Linked DNA regions of Nothobranchius furzeri. The protein of the gene in region 1 purifies or fractionates together with the protein of each later gene. This does not show direct contact. Links are inferred from orthologs where the notes say so. Each region holds a gene or a part of one and is shown on either strand. Other genes may lie near its edges.

What was found.
Region 2: the proteins of mak (region 1) and katnip purify together in Homo sapiens (affinity purification with mass spectrometry; 3 studies listed by BioGRID and IntAct, with this or other methods). This does not show direct contact. The link is inferred for Nothobranchius furzeri from reciprocal best matches to the Homo sapiens genes MAK and KATNIP.

The regions. Positions count from the first base shown.
Region 1 is NC_091747.1:57,637,718-57,645,927, reverse strand, and holds the start of mak (serine/threonine-protein kinase MAK), read right to left. Parts: upstream 4,445-8,210; 5' UTR 3,657-4,444; intron 604-3,656; 5' UTR 337-603; coding exon 236-336; intron 1-235. Other genes in the region: zinc finger MYM-type protein 1, read right to left, coding at 5,224-5,751, 7,000-7,114, 7,281-8,210. UniProt on the Homo sapiens protein: Essential for the regulation of ciliary length and required for the long-term survival of photoreceptors. Phosphorylates FZR1 in a cell cycle-dependent manner. Plays a role in the transcriptional coactivation of AR.
Region 2 is NC_091756.1:31,630,799-31,638,878, reverse strand, and holds the start of katnip (katanin-interacting protein), read right to left. Parts: upstream 5,267-8,080; 5' UTR 5,040-5,266; coding exon 4,997-5,039; intron 4,685-4,996; coding exon 4,590-4,684; intron 3,078-4,589; coding exon 2,989-3,077; intron 2,726-2,988; coding exon 2,550-2,725; intron 2,193-2,549; coding exon 2,080-2,192; intron 1,989-2,079; coding exon 1,887-1,988; intron 1,749-1,886; coding exon 1,599-1,748; intron 1,404-1,598; coding exon 1,163-1,403; intron 1,045-1,162; coding exon 913-1,044; intron 743-912; coding exon 606-742; intron 1-605. Other genes in the region: dcun1d3 (DCN1-like protein 3), read right to left, coding at 7,366-7,912. UniProt on the Homo sapiens protein: May influence the stability of microtubules (MT), possibly through interaction with the MT-severing katanin complex.

The DNA.
Region 1 (8,210 bases):
GCTTAATGAACTGTGAATTGGAATGTTTATTATGTGAAGTGCCTTGAGACGACTCTTGTCGTGATTTGGCGCTTTATAAATAAACTTGAAACTTGAATTAAAATTGACACAATGGGCATCACATAATTATTTCAATTGACTTTTTAAACCAGTTGTATCTAAATTACTCTCTATAGCATGGTATAGATAACAAGTAAATATTCAAGTTTTCGAATTAAAAAGCAAACTTCCTCACCTCTTGATAGCCACCAGTTCTCCAGATTCGTTGCTCCTCCCCATCAGCACACAACCATAGGTGCCATCACCCAGCTGCTTCAGGGTGGTGTAGCGATTCATCGTGTCTCAAAATGTCTTCATCAGCTTCCTAAAGCTCGTTCTGAGAGAGGTGAGCTGTGGGAGCACAGTGCTGAGTCATCTGTTGTCTTTAACTGGGGTAAAAGGCTGTTTTGTATCTCCAGAGCAGTTTAGTTGTTCCGGTCCAAAAGGAAGATCCTTAAGTTGTCCAATGTGCCACAAACCCCCTGAGTTTGGGCTTTAGAAATCATCTTCAAATATGTGATCGATTCAGTCTTGTAGGTGTAAATGGGTCGGGAGACAAGGGAGCTAAAAGTGAGAACAACAGCATCAGTACAAATACAAATGTCAATAAAACTCTCCAACAGATCCCTTTCTGTTTTTCCCCTCATAGAGGAGGATCAGGTGTGTGTCACATTAGGAAGCTTCAACACATGAACACCCAAGGGTGATGACACAGGCGGATTAGAGATGTAAATAGGCTGTTGCATCACCGACACGCTTACCGGCATCTACAGCCATCTCCACAGCACCCTGCCTGGCAATAGGCTTTGAGTGAGACCATCGGGTAGCGTTCAAGCTGTTATGCTGCAGATTCAGCCAAATAAACCTTGCTGACGGCATCTTCAACTTTGCACGGGCAACTACTTGCAGCTCAGTACTCTGAATAATTAAAACCACACAAAAACCTTTTAGGTAAAGCTCATCGTTTTGTGTTTAATATTCATGTTGGGCTAATCTTGAGTGGAAATGAGTCCAAAGCGTTGATGAAATTGTGCTTTAAGGGAACAAAATATAGAATATTAAACTCAAATATATAGGCAAGCTGCAAGTATACTAGGGCCTCAGTGGGTGAACCTTGGTGCAGCAGAAGCATGTGTGTGCATTTGAGAAAACCGTGTGTTCCAGCATCTCTTCCCAACTTAAATTTAGGGTGTTTAAATAAAAAATGTTAAAGAATGAGAATAAAAAAAACAGGATATACGTTTAAGCAGAAATAGTTTTCCAACTTTTAGGAATTATGCGGGATTTTTATTTTATCCTAAAAGTGCTAGTCCGACCCTGTACTCTGTGATATAATGTAGGCAATACATCAATGCTTTTTTATTTTGATAAGCCTGTCCTTGTCCCATAGAGCCTCATGCTATTTGAATTGAGCGCCACTTAGCATTAGCCAGCATTCACAAAGGAGAAGCAATGCTTCCAGCTGTAATCACGGAAGTATGGAGCGGGGCTTCATGTATGATTCATTATTTCTGCCTCTAGGTGGTGCCCTCTGACGAAAGACTCCTCTGCTTTAAAGATAAACTTTGCAGTTTTGGCTTGCTTTTAGCACCCCTTAATGTCCAATTTAATTCACCATCATAAAAACGAAACAGAAACTCTCCTCACTGCGTACTTCCGTAATCCATCCATCCATTTTCAGACACTTATTTGGAGTTGTGGGGACCTAAGCAGAGAGGTCCAGACTTCCCTCTCCCCAGTTACTTGGGCCAGCTCCTCCTGGTCAAACCCAAGGTGTTCCCTGGCCAGCAGAGAGACAAATTGTCCCTCCAGTGTGTCCTGGGTCTTCCCTTGGGTCTCCTCCCAGTTGGACATGCCTGGAAAACCTCACCAGGGAGGTGTCCAGGAGGCAGGAGACCAGAAGCTAGAGCCACGTCAACTTGCTCCTCTCGATGTGGAGGAGCAGCGGATCTACTCTGAGCCCCTCCCGGATGAACAAGTTTCTCACCCTATCGCTAAGGGTGTGGAGAAAACTCATTTTGGCCACTTGTATCTGCAATCTCGTTCTGTCACAACCCAAAGCTCGTGACAAAAGGTGAGGGTAGGAATCAACAGTATCACCTTCCTGCTCAGCTCTCTCTTCACCATAACAGATCAGTACAATGCCCGTATCACTGCAGCACCAATCTACCTGTCGATCACATGCTCCATTTTTCCCTCGCTCATGAACAAGATTGACCTCATCCCTGACCTGGAGAAGGCATTCTACCCTTCTCCAATTCAAGATCATGGTTTTGGATTTAGAGGAGCTGATTCTCATCCCAGCCACTTTACACTCTGCAAAAGCTGGAGACCACGTTCTGATAAAGCCAACAAGACCAGATCCGTAATGTAACTGCTGAAATGTCTCCTCAGCCTTAATTTGTTTCTACAGGAGTGATTATTCACTAAATCAAACAAATCAGCTGTGTTCATGATCTAAAACATGCAGGAGTCATATCTCTGAGCTCTCACAATGTAGAAAACCCGATGTTTGACTCCTATTGTGGTCGGGCATTTTTTTATTTATTGTTTCATAGGCCTAAAAGCTTCCTTAGTTTCTTTTGAGGCTCAGACCATGATAAACATGTTACAATAAATGCTATCGAGGTATAGCTCATCTGTTCTGAGGAGTAAACACGGATTGCTGTCAAGCTTGGATTTTGAAACTTCAAGGCAGCGATCCAGGGAGGCTAAAATTGCAAACAGGGTATCACAAGGGGCAGAGAGGCTTTTCATACACCCTGCAAATGGTAATTTTAGCACACACTGGCTAAAGAAAAGGATTTCAAAAATATGACTAATTAGCTCAGTGTGCCTTAAATGAGGTAAATGTGCTTATCTGACATATGTTTGACCTTATTTCCCTTCTTGACCAATAGGAACATTATCTGATGATGGGTCTGCTACAGTAGAGAAAGCACATGTTCTTTAGCATTTGTTCTTAAAATAGATGCTTGAAAAACAGAAAAGCAAGAGGTGAAACAATAATATAAAACAATTTCCTTTTTCTCAAAGAATTCCAAAAATAATGTTTAAAGCTAAATAATTAACCCATAAAACAAATGTAGATTTTAAATGTCTTTCGACACATTTCAATCACATCCAGCTTATTTCTGAATGCAAATTTAAAGCATCTCGTTTGACAGACAAGCAGCTGCAGAAGAATAGTAGGTAGATGCCTAGAGACCTACAATCTGCTAGGAGGGATTTAAAAGGAATTACCGTCTAATAAGGCCACATGACATTAGGAGCTAATCAAGGTCACTTCCCGGTGGACAACAAAAAGATTCAATTTAAGGATTATAACTGTGTGATATGACCACATTTGGCCATTTGACCAATAATATATAACTTTATTTTAATGAATTAATTCAGCACTTACTTTCAACCGTTCTATGGGATAAAGCAATTAAAATAATCTAACATTAGTTAGGTAGTATTTGTCGGGCAATAATAAACAAAAACTATAAAATACAATACGCGCAATTAATTCAAGAGAGAAACGTAGTTCGGACTACTGGTAGTTGCATCAACGTTCATTTTTCTCCCTGCCTCTTTTCTTATCTTTTAAACTGTCTTGGCGGTTTTAAACTCACCAGTTCAGAAGTAGCTTGTCTCCGTTGTCTGGCTCTGCTGATAGCTCCAGATAACATTCTCACTTAGCCCAAACCCAGCGCGTGCAGGTGTGTGCGCGTGACCTCTCCATGGAAACGAACAACATAGAAAGCTCAAACCTCTTCCGAGAGGTGACGAAGCGCGTGGCGGCCGCAATGCTTTGTGGGACTTGTCGTCCTGCACGCATTTATCATCTTCGTGATTGTTCTTGATATTCGGAGACGATTCTAAATGTAAACCATCGATATTTTAATTTAATTTTTGCGCAAAAATTAAAGCCATATCGATTAAAAGTGACAGTGATGTGTTTTCAGCAGTACTCGGGTTAGTCGCCACCAGATGGCGCTAAAATACCGCGATTGGACTATCAGACGCTGTGGTACTACAATCAGAGCACAATAAATAAAAAAATGTATATTATCTAACATTTAATTATATAGGCCATATGTGGTACAACATACATTAAATAAAAATTATATTAAGATTTAATCATATAAAAGCTATGATTATGGGGTCTTTTTTATTTAGTTGTCACAATTTTACGATTGTTTTGTTGTTTTAAACGTTCCTGTATTTTTCCACTAATATTAATTTTATATTTTCGATGGGCTACACCAAATCTTTACAGTACTGTCACTAAACAGAAATGCGTATGCTTAAGAACCCAGCAAACCACTGAAAATGTCATGTCTTCATCACACCAACAAATCAATGTCAGACTGACCTGAACCCTGCTTCACTTTAGAACAGGTCTGCTGCAAAACGTCAGCTATACTGACATACTGTGAAGCATATTACATATTTTAAAATATTAAATTATGCTAAATACAGATATGTAAAAAATATTTCTTTCCTCATGTCAAATCAAAGGTAACCCAAATAAATACAAATCTTTTTTAATTACTTTACTGGTGTTAAAGCCATCCAAACCAACATGACTTGCCACTAATCCCAATAACGGGGTGTGAAATAATTGACGGCAACATGCAATCAAGTATTAATGACACCAGTGAGGAGTCTCATCACTGTGGAGGAATTATTCAGAACTGCTTTAACTCAGGCACAGTGGAGGTTTTCCAACTCTTTCTAGGATCTTTTGTACGTACATTCTGTTTCATCCAACTGCCTTCTTTGCACTCTTTCTAGGATCACATCTGAGGCTTTCTCCTTCAGGATTTTTTAGTAGACAGACTTCACAAGTGGTCCAGGTCCTGCAGCTGTAAATCCGCACCAGGCCATCACACTACAACCATCATGTCTGACTGTTGCTATGACATTTGGGTGGAAACAACATTGGATTTACACAAAAGGTATAAGAAACCTGTCAGAAGATGACAGAAATTCCACAAAAGTAATTAATTTTTCTTCCCAAAAGCATTAGTTACAAAGTCAACTCACAATTTACAGTAATGTCAGACTTAATTTATACTTGGGAAATGAGTAGTATCAAATACAAAAAACCTTAAGGAAGGCAGGAGTATTTCTGTGTTTGCAAAAAAAAAAAAAAAAAAAATCCATGTATGTTTGTACGTTTGGGATAGAAGATTTTTATTTGTACATGAACTTTTCTCGTCTGTGTATCTGAGCTGCATATTTCTCAATGACCTTAGTGTTAAAATCACGAATGTCCTGGGTCAGTTTTTTCTCTATGGAGAGCATAGCCAGAGCATTGAGCCGATCCTGCGCCAAAGTGTTTTTAAGAAAGACTTTTATCCTGTTTGAGGTAGAGAAGCACCTCTTCGACTCTGATGTGTTCATGGGTGTTGTGATGACGATGTTCAGAAGACTTACAGTCTCTGTAAAAATGTCTTGAAGGTTGTTTTCCATCAAAACTCGAAAGAGTGCCACTGCACCACTGCAACTATGGAACTCCTCATTTTCATAGATCAGGGACAGTTCGGTTTTAAGTTTGGCCTTGTCCAGAAACGGGTAGGCTTCCAGCGCAGTGTCCAGAGCCGAGTCTGGGAACATTCTGCTGTGTTTTCGAAAGAAGTTTGCTTGCACCAGAGTGGCACTGATGAGGTGTTTGGTGAAAGAAAACCTCTCCTTGGCATGGCTCACGATGGTGTCACATACCTATGTAATGAAATAAAATATTTAAAAGGGGAGAATGAAGTCATCACATGTCTCACCATCTTTTATATGCTGAATAGTTACCGTTTTTTTTTTACATCACGCACCACTTATGCATCCGGTGGAAAGGCTAGGCTAGCCTATACTGTGAAAACTCAAAAAGAGAATAGTTCATTTGTTTTTCAGAAATTGCTTTCAATAAGCTGTCAAGTTGAATGAATTAACTTGGATAAACTTTATTCAAATTCGTGTCACCAATTTAAGTTGGATCAACTATTCTCTTTCGAGTTTAATGGCTTGACACAAGCAAAAACACATTCGCAAGTTTGCAAAACAAGCTAGCTTGAATTTTATTTCATACCCCTAACAACATTTTAACATTTAGTGAATATTTTGTGGAGATAAAAAAATTGGAAAAATAATGAAGTGGTTCTCTCGCATTAGTCCAAAAGCCTTCGTCAATACCAGAGCTCAGTCTTGTTTTGCAGTGGTCATTAAAGCTTTAAGCCTGATTCATGCTTCTCCGTCTGCGTCAGTGCGGAGACACGCAACGTCCTTGCGGAGCTGCCGGAGAGCTTCGCAAGGACGGACGGAGTCGAACTCTCTTTTCTAAACATCCGTCAGTCGAGACAGACAATGCAAGCTTGTGATTGGTCAGGACGCCGCTGTTGTCTACAGCGCCGCCATTGCGCCCTCAAAAACATAAAGAGAGCCGAGGATAACAAGCGGCAGACACGGAGAAGCTTGAAGAATACCTCGCGAAAACACTCTAAAAACATGAATGTTTCATTCTCCCATGACTGGAGGAGTGAAAAGATATGCAGCAAGCATTTTATTTGTGGACGGAAATGACAGGAAACGTGGGTTTAGAGGTGGCGAGCGCATGAAGAGGTGGAGAATGAGAGACAAATATGTCTGTGTTAAAAAGTCTCTTATATACACAAAACACACAATATTAACACACTATCTTGGACCGATACATGACAGGATACCACAGAAAAGCGCTACGCCCTCTGTGGTCCTGGCGGGCAATTGCTTTGCAACACTCTCCAGGAGACGGAGAAGTATGAGCAAAACGCTTCCGTCAATCCGTGCATGTCTGTCCCTTGCGGAGCTGACGGAGAAGCACGAACCAGGCTTTATTCATATCATAATATGACAACGCACCTTTCATTCTAGACTAGACCACCATCCCAGATGGCCTGCATCCACATAAGATTTCACTTTATGATCTGAAATCAAAGTGTTTACCTCCAGAGCAAAATGGTGCTGCATGTCTTCTCCCATTCTTTTCCATTTCTTATTGGGTGGCTCCTGAATAGGTACCACAAATGCCTCCTCCTTAACCAGAAAAGGAATGGCCTCTCTGATCCAAAACAGAAGTTTCATAAATAAGTCATAAAAACTGTCTAGGGATATATTAACCAAACCTAATGTTGTTTTATAGCAATTATATTTATCAACTTAACGGATTCATCGTTTGAAAACAATGCGTAATGAGGCTAGACTACATATGAACACATTTAGCCTACCTGATAGTCTGCATGCTGTTAATGAAATTCTGGATGACACCAGCAATGAAGTCAGAATCAATGTTCGTCTTCTGTAACTCGCTGTACAGCAAGTCCACATGTGGCATGATCTTGTGAAACAAGGAAAGGAAGAAACAGAAAGTTTCATCCTCCAGCATTCTCACAAAGCTGCCCGCCTCTCGTGTCGTAGTGTCATCAAAGCTTTCTCTGTCCCGGATGGTCTCAAAACATCTCACCAGATCGTCCTTGTGCTCATACACAGTGCTGACGGCCCCACTGCCAAAATTCCAGCATGTTAATGTGTTTGGCACTTGGTGAGTCACCTCACCGAGCACAGCAGCCGTTTTGAGTGATTTAGCAAAAAAAGAACCAAATCCTGCCATGTCAGAAAAAAAGCGACTGATTTCAGGGATGTGGGAGGTTGCCTGCTGCATTACCAGGTTTAACTGATGGGCATAACAGTGAATGTAGTGAGCATGTGGATAGATGAGCTGTAACCTATGCTGCAGCCCAGTGGTACCCCTCATTACTGCGGCACCATCATAGGCCTGCGCGATCAGTTTATTTTCTTGTCCCTCTGGAAGGATGATGTGTAGCCTCTCCAATAATGTGTTGGCTACTGGGTCTGCACAGTCATTGGGTAGCTTAATAAACTCAAAAAAACGTTCTTGTACATCGTTGCGTTTGTCTATGTATCGTAGTACCAGGACAAGCTGATAGTGTGAGGAGATGTCAGTAGTTTTATCAACTTGGATAGCTAGAAAGCTCGCTGTGTTTACTTCCTCCACGATCCGTTCTCTCAGAACAGCCAGCACACAGTCTAGGAGCTCGTTCTGAATCGTTGTCGAAGTGCCTTTAAACACAGTTGCACTTTCAAGGTGTTCCCTCAAACCTCGATCATTGGATGCCATCAAGTCAACCAGGCCTCTG
Region 2 (8,080 bases), on another chromosome or scaffold:
CGGATCTGTTCTGTGAGGTACCCCAAGGCTCTGTTTTGGGGTACCCTGTTTTTAAACATATACCCTCTTAGACAGAAAATTAAGTCATTTCATAATTTCTCCCACTACCAACGCTGGTCCAAAACGGTTCTAATCACGTGAGAAACGTTTCCAAACTGTGATGGTTGGTGTCAAAACATGAACTTGAAATGGTTATCCATGCCTTTATCTCCTCCTGTCTAGATTACTGTAACACACTTTTCACGTTTTAACAAAAAAGCCCTTGACCGCCTTCAGTTGGTCCAGAACTCTGCAGCGAGGCTCCAAACTGGTGCAAACATCACTCCCATTCTAATGTCTCTGCACTGGTTACCCGTTAACTTTAGAGTTCATTTTAGAATCCTGACAAGAACTTTCAATGCTCCTCCCTATATTACTGAACATTTAAAGCCTTATGTTTGAATTTTGATGTAATTTTCATTGTGACGCACCTTTTTCTTTCTGTAATAGGTGCTATAAAACTTTACCTACTTATCAAACACCTGCAAATGGTGAAGTTAAAGCATTGGCTGCTAGCTAAACGAGGAAACGGGAATAATCAGGAGGCAGAGCGTGCTGCGGCTCACGAGATCAGGGCTCTTCACTGGGGTGTTCTCTCTCTGTATGGCTTGGCACACACTGAACGCCACCTCTTCAGGGTCTCGCTCATCAACAGAAGTCTTTCTGGATGACGAAACGAGCCTTTCCGTGCGACTCCACGGCCCTTAAACAAAAATAACAAAAAACCTGTTATATGAAGCAAAAACTGTACATTTACCTTTTTATAACAGGATTGTAAAAGAAGACCTATTCAGACCTGGAAAATCAGAATCGGGAAGAATAATCTCTTTAATTTAAGCATAAAGAGACACTTTAAAAGGTGAAATGACTCACTCTGATCATCCCAGCTGTCTTTAGAAGGAGGCCTATCTAATGTTTTGCTCTTGACCAACAGAGGCTTAGTGGGTATGAAGGGGTCAACACTTTCATTCCTCTTGGCAGACAGAGAACGTTCAAGTTTACGACCTGCAGCAGATAGAGGACGCGTTCGCTAATAAAACCAGACATTAGACCTATAGCTGTCGAACAGCTGGTATGATTGCTTAGTTTAGTCAATGTTGAGGAGAAGATCCTTAAAGACTACCTTTAGGTGAGGGGCCAAAGTCCAGAACAATGAGGTTTGCGGAGTCAAAATGGCCGTGACTCCCGCCTGTCCGAGAATGAGTGGAGGACTTGGAGGAGGAAAGAGGCAGCCCAAGTTCATCCAGACTCTCGGTGCTCTCATCCCTCTCAATCTGCTCCTCTACCCACTCCTCGTCGGACTCCTCCCCTGCTGAGCCGCTGCTGCTCCGTCGCATGCTAACCTCCAGGCTCCGACGCAACACCTAGCATACAAAGAGACAGTTTTTATTCATGCATCAGTGCTCACACAGGCGCAAATACACAAGAGAGGGGACATGAGTGTAGGGATTTCCCTGACCTCTGTGAGTAGATCTGAAATCATCACTTAACACCAGGCAGCATCACAGTAACATGTGAAACTCACCAAATCTTAAGGTCATGGGTGGTTTTCCTCTCACCTTCACTTCCTCGAGGTTGAGGAGCACCTTCTCGCTGTGCTCCTGGTTGCCCTGGTCTTCCTGGCACTCAGCTCTGGAGCTGAAGGAGCGAGAAACCCTGCAGGCGTCTCTTTGACTCCGAGGACTACATGGCGAGCGCAGACTAGAGCGCTGTAGCAAACATGGAGAAAGAGAAATAAGGAAAGGGGAGAGACAGAGAGGTGTTAGGAGAGTTGCGTGTGACACACAGCTCCTCCCCTAAAACGACAAAACCCACACACAGTGTCTTGGCAGGAATTGTCACTCTACCTCCATGTTCACACTTTCATAAGCCTCAAAATCGTCAGAGTAGCACGTCGCTGGAGATATTTCCAAACTTGGGCCATGCTCGGTTTGAATTTTAACACAACCCTGCACACATCAGATAAGAAGATATTGTTACTACATGCACTTATATGTATTTTTATATAAAACAACAAATTAAGACATCAAAGCTCTTTACCTGCACCCATTCTTTCCTCTGGACCTTTGCTGGAGCAGTCTGGCTCCTCTTCCTGCCCGACTGATCCGGATTACGGCTATCTTCAGTTAGATGGTGGGCGCTTATCCAGAAATCTGAGGATGAGTCACAGCACAGAAAGGAACATGAGCAACTCGCTGCAGACTATAGCCTCAGAGGAGAGAAAACACTAAACTCGTACATGCAGATGGTCCACAGCACATAAAGGAAGCACCAGAAGAAAGCTGGCAGCTACAACTGTCACTATTGTTTAATCACTGAGACCGGGCATGGACTCACACAAAACAAGCAGCAGAGCGGTGGCAATTAGCTCATGCTCCATATGCTTTACACACGACAGAGGGACCTGCAGCTTTTAGCACAATCCCAAAGCACAAGCTCATAAATAACTAATGAAAGTATAATCAAGGTCTTACATAGGAGCAAACATTTACACTCGCCTAGCTGCATACCGGCTGTGCGTGCAGGCCTCCCGGCTGGCTGAGGGGCCTCTGGCTTGTTTTTGGGGTTCTTGAGCTGCTTCCTACTGGACTCAGCATTAGCGCCGTTCAGATAAATTGAGAAGCCTTGCTCCAGCTGCTCCAATTCGATCTCTCTTGGATTTTTCACTCTGAGGCGCTTTAGGATTCTGCAAAGCATAAATGAAAATGTAAATAAATAATGCTATATGCTGTATCTGATGAAGAAAAGTCTAAAAATGTTTTCGCTAAATTCAACCAAACATTTTCAAATGTATGCTTTTACTATTTTAAATAAAAACGTGTTTTTCCTCTAAACAAAAGCACCAAACTAAACAGAGCTTCAAACTGTTAGAAAACAAAACTGTGATGCATTTCCTCTGTGAAATCCAATCAGTCCATCTGCAGCAGCCTGTGCTCACACACACGTCACCTGTTTTTGTGCTGGAGGTCAATTAAATATTCATCCAGAGTGTCATCTCCGGCAGAGGCAGGCTTCTCTCCTCGGTACGTCTCACTCTCCTTCACACGCGCGCGCGCACACACACACACACACACACACACACACACACACACACACACACACACACACACACACACACACACACACACACACACACACACACACACACACACACACACACACACACACACACACACACACACACACACACACACACACACACACACACACACACACACACACACACACACACACACACACACAGAGTCAGGAAAGCATAGAGGAAAGAAACTTCCTAATGAACACACAAATGTATTTACAACCTATACCAACATAATTCTACGCACCACAACATTCATGCATGCAAAATGCTCCTCTAGATGTGTAAACAAAGCTTCAGTTAAAGTTATGTAAAGTGACAAGTTGTCACGTTTGTTAGAAATATCACAAAATCTATGTATGAATGAAAAAAAATTAAATAAATCCAAGCCACAACTGCTTTTTCTCAACCATCAATACTTGTTTATTTTTCAACTGAGCCTTTTTGTTGTAATATAGCCCTGTTATGTGCTACTTAGGTTAAGCAGTGACTGTGCAGTAATTTGAACTACAACTTCTGTTTCCTGCAGTAATTTATCTCTAGATAGACAAATGTGGTCTTTGTGATTTGACTCCAAACCAGAAAAGTGTTGGTGCAGCTTCGCAACTAAATCCATAAAATGATTGTTGACAAATGTCAGAATGAAAATCATGTGTGTTTATGTGTACATCAACACACCTAAACTAAGGTAACCAGATTGTGTAATCATTTAGATGAACTTGATGTATCATTATGCAATTTGCATACAATGCTAAATTAAAATAATCATCAGTCATTATCCCTCCAGATGCATCTGAGCGTACAAAACACAAGCCTCTTTAAAAGGAGCATCAGTCGTCTGTACAATGCAGCCACTCGTGCAGTTCCATTACTTTCAGTACAGGTGAAACTCGAAAAATTTAGAATATAGTGCAAATGTTCATTTATGCTTTAAAGGTGAAGTGAGGTGGACTCATTATGTGCAAAGCCAGACATTTCACACCTTTATTTGTTATAACTGTGATGATAATGGATTACAGCTGATGAAAACCCTACATTCAAAATCTCAGACAATTAGAATATTGTGAAAAGGTTCAATAAAGTGCCACACTCTAATCAGATGATCAATCCAAAACACGTGCAAAGGGTTCCTGAGCCTTTACATGGTCTCTCAGTCTAAAGCAAAATACTAAAATAAATTAATTTTGCACCATATTCTTGTTTTAGAGTTTCATCTGTATTCATGCGTGACAAATAAATAAAAAGAAATTACAAAGCTCTTACTGAAGTATTTACAAGTCAACTAGGATGTCAGTTTCAGGAGCAGAGAAGAGAGAAAGATGTGAAGAAGCAGGAAAATGCTGGTTAGTGATAGATCCCTGAGACACATCATGTGGAATCACTTAATCCTTTCAATAGTGGATTTTATGGAATGAGGTATGACATGAAAAGCACTGCTGACAGAGGCCGTTACATGAAACTCATCTCTTACTTTTTTCTCCATGGCGTGCTGCAGGGACTCATCTGAAAACACTATCCCATCTTTTGAAGAGAGATTATGTGACTCCCAGTTGAGTTTGATCCTCTCTGCAGCATGACACACAAACGCAGCTTCAAGATTGCTTGACACATCTTAAAGGACTTGTTTAATTTCGCCACACCCGACAAAAACATCGCAGCACCAGGTTGTGATTACATGACATCATCTCGTGTAGCACATCTGTTCAAGGTTTTTCCACAAACCCCCATTTGTTAGCAAGTGCACCTTTAAACATCAGAATCAGAAGGGTTTTATTGTCATATGTGCGAGAATCACAAAGAAATTAGGTGCTACTTGGTGGAAGAAAAGATAAATGACGAGCAAACATTTGAATTACGAAATAAACCCAGTGAACATACGTGCAGTTAGCGTAAGACAGCGCCTGGCATTTGATTTTGTCATTAAAAGCTAGCACGTTGATCGCTGGAGATGGGCCGATGGGCTTTTTCTTTATCGTGTCCTTTTTCCTTCTTTAAACCCGCAAAGTGTTGCTAGAGGCTAATCTAGCTCGCGTTGTAGCCAATGCAACATTAGCAACCTCGCGCTAAAGCTAACAACAAACCGATACGCTAATGAGTTAGCATGCATCCGTTTTACGTGACTAGATGTTTACATATGTAATGAAAAATAGTGACGTTACTCATATGTACATTTTTTCACAAATTACAAGACATACTTACAGTACTCCTAAAGAGTTGCATTATTAGTGTGTAAAAAAAATCGTATTTACCGATGGATTTACCCAATGTTGGAGGATTTCCTCCTGTGAGTTGTGTTGCTCGGTAACCAGGGGAGCTCTCCACCAATCAGGAGAGCTGAGGCAGCGAAGGACACGCCCCATCCGGACATACCTATGCCCTCTAACTCACCATTCAATTAAAAAAAAAAAAGGTGCGAAAAATACAATAAAGGCACACAGGTTTCCATGGCAAAAAAAATCAACACTGTTTTTATTTATTATAAATCAGTACATTTCTTATAAAAACAAAATAAAAGGGGATGAAATAAAACCATTTTAGATGTTTAATTAGATAGTGGCCACCCACTTCCATTCAACCCAAGTCACAGTCTGTTGACTAACCAGCAGGACTAACTAGCTCATTCCAAAACACCCTTGCTTATAATGATCAATCTACAATTTGGATACGCTTCAAATGGTAATATTGTGGTTAACAACAATCTCGGCAAAGCATTCCAAGTACAGCAAATTAGCATGCCATTAGTTTCTGTGCAATTCATTGCAACCATTGCCAGCAGCAGTACTTGCATTATTTGTGACGTGTGCACACATATTTTGAGTGTCTAGCAGTCGAAGGACGTAAAGACTAAAACTCCTGCAGTACAACAAAAGCTCTGTGAGGTGCCCAGGCTTAATGCAGTTTAGGCATCCCTCTGTAACAATTACCCAAATTTTTGATACAAAATTCCATTATTAAAATGAACGAGGCAGCTGAGAAAAGCCAACCTCATTCAGTTGCATACATTAAAACTGTTTGTTGAAAGAAGGCGGACATGAAAATGGTAGATGTTGCGGGAGCAACACATTCTCACACCCAAGGCGTCATAATATGACGTGTGTGACCAAGTCTCAATATATGACGATTCGGGACGCCCCAGTGCGTCAGGAGACGACGATCAGGGACACGCTGGGTCACGTGGCTCCGCTGGCGTCACTGTTTGACGCGCGCTGTCACACGGACGTTATTCGACTATTTAACCTTCCCGTCACCCCGATCCTAATCTTAAGGCCCATAAACTGTGACCTTAAGGTTAGGACTGGGGTGAGGGGAAGGTTAAGTAGTTCACAAGTACTTCTAATGTCCGTCTCACCACCGGCGTCGGACACCGACGCTCTGGGACGCTGCGTCAGTTGTTTGTCCCTGATCATAGTCTCCTGACATGCTGGGGCGTCCCGAATCGTCATATATTGAGGCTTGGTCACACGCGTCGTATTTTGACGCCTTGGGTGTGAGAATGTGTTGGCGGGTCATGGGAAAGCACAGAAGCTGCTCACTGTTCAGGTAGCACTCAAAAGTCAAAGAACACTGAATACTGGAGACAAGAACAACCAACTGGGATTTAAAAGTACTCAAACTGATAAAAGTATGCCAAAGTAACTGTAATTTGTATTTTTTTAAATGCCCCTATGACTGAATTATAATGTCCTTTTCCTACTATCTGTGGGCCAATCATGATAAACTCACCCTTGCTACACGGACACATAAAACCATCCACTCACTGATTCACCATCTCATTTTTGTCACTTTGAATTGATTTTAAAAAGGTAGTTAAGACATGATTTCCCTTCTTCATTAGAAACGACCCCCTTGAACAAATTATATCTACCATGTTTCAAGATTAAATCTGCTCACGGCTTTCTGCTGCCCATTCACTGAGCTAACTCTGATGGGTTGTGGTAGGTAGGTGTATGTATGTATGTATATATATATATATATATATATATATATATATATATAAACATCAACCACATTCTTAAAACGCAATGGATGGGGGAAAAGTAAACCAATAACTTAAATAGAAGTGCTTAAAACAACAGTTCATAGAGCCCTTTCAACAAAATAAAGCATAGCAGTAATCCCATCCCAACATACCAGGAGAGATAACTGAATAACTGAAATGATAATACTAATATTCATCCAATGATTCCCACATGTACAGTTCACATATAGAGCATATCCTCTCCCCCGAGAGCAAATATGGTTTCTGGTCAGTGCCCCCCCCATGTCTGTGAGCCACGGCTCCCCTCAGTTTCAAGTCTATCTGTGGTAGGAGGACAATCCGTCTCCGTACACCTCCCTCCTTCTTCCTCCTTTGCCTTCAGTGCCTGCTCCTCCTCTCTTTTCCTGCGCTCCAACTCCCACTCCACAAAAGTGTCAAAGAGGCTGGGCCAGGCCTCGTCCTCACTGTAGTTGCTGAGGTCAGACCCAATGGCCTGGGTGAAGTTGAGGAACATGTTCCACGTGTCCCTGGAGATGCCCCGAATACCGGAGGGGTTCTCGGCTAGAAACTCCAGCCAGCGTTCCAGAATCTCCGGAGTGTCTTGTGTGAAAACCAGTCGCCATAGTGCGATGGCAATTTCCCGCTGAAGCGACCGTTGGCCCTCTTCGGCGTCCAGACCGAACTGGAAGGTGAAACGGTAAAGGTCCTTGAAGTTCTCTTCAACCTGGGCTTCCAGCAGCATGTAAGTGAAGCGTGAGCAGATGCCCTCAATACTGTCCGCCCTGATGGCCTTGCAGCCCTCAACAAACTCTTTCCTGATGACATAAAAACAGGATCAGATGTCACAATGGGTATTCAGAATTACAGTAAAATGTCATTTACAGCAGTTCTGTGAGATCTGCAAAACCAAACTTGCCCAGTGGTGTTTAAAAATATCAAGTAGATGAGCTTATCTGCTCAACTTCAACAGCGGTCTGGGATTT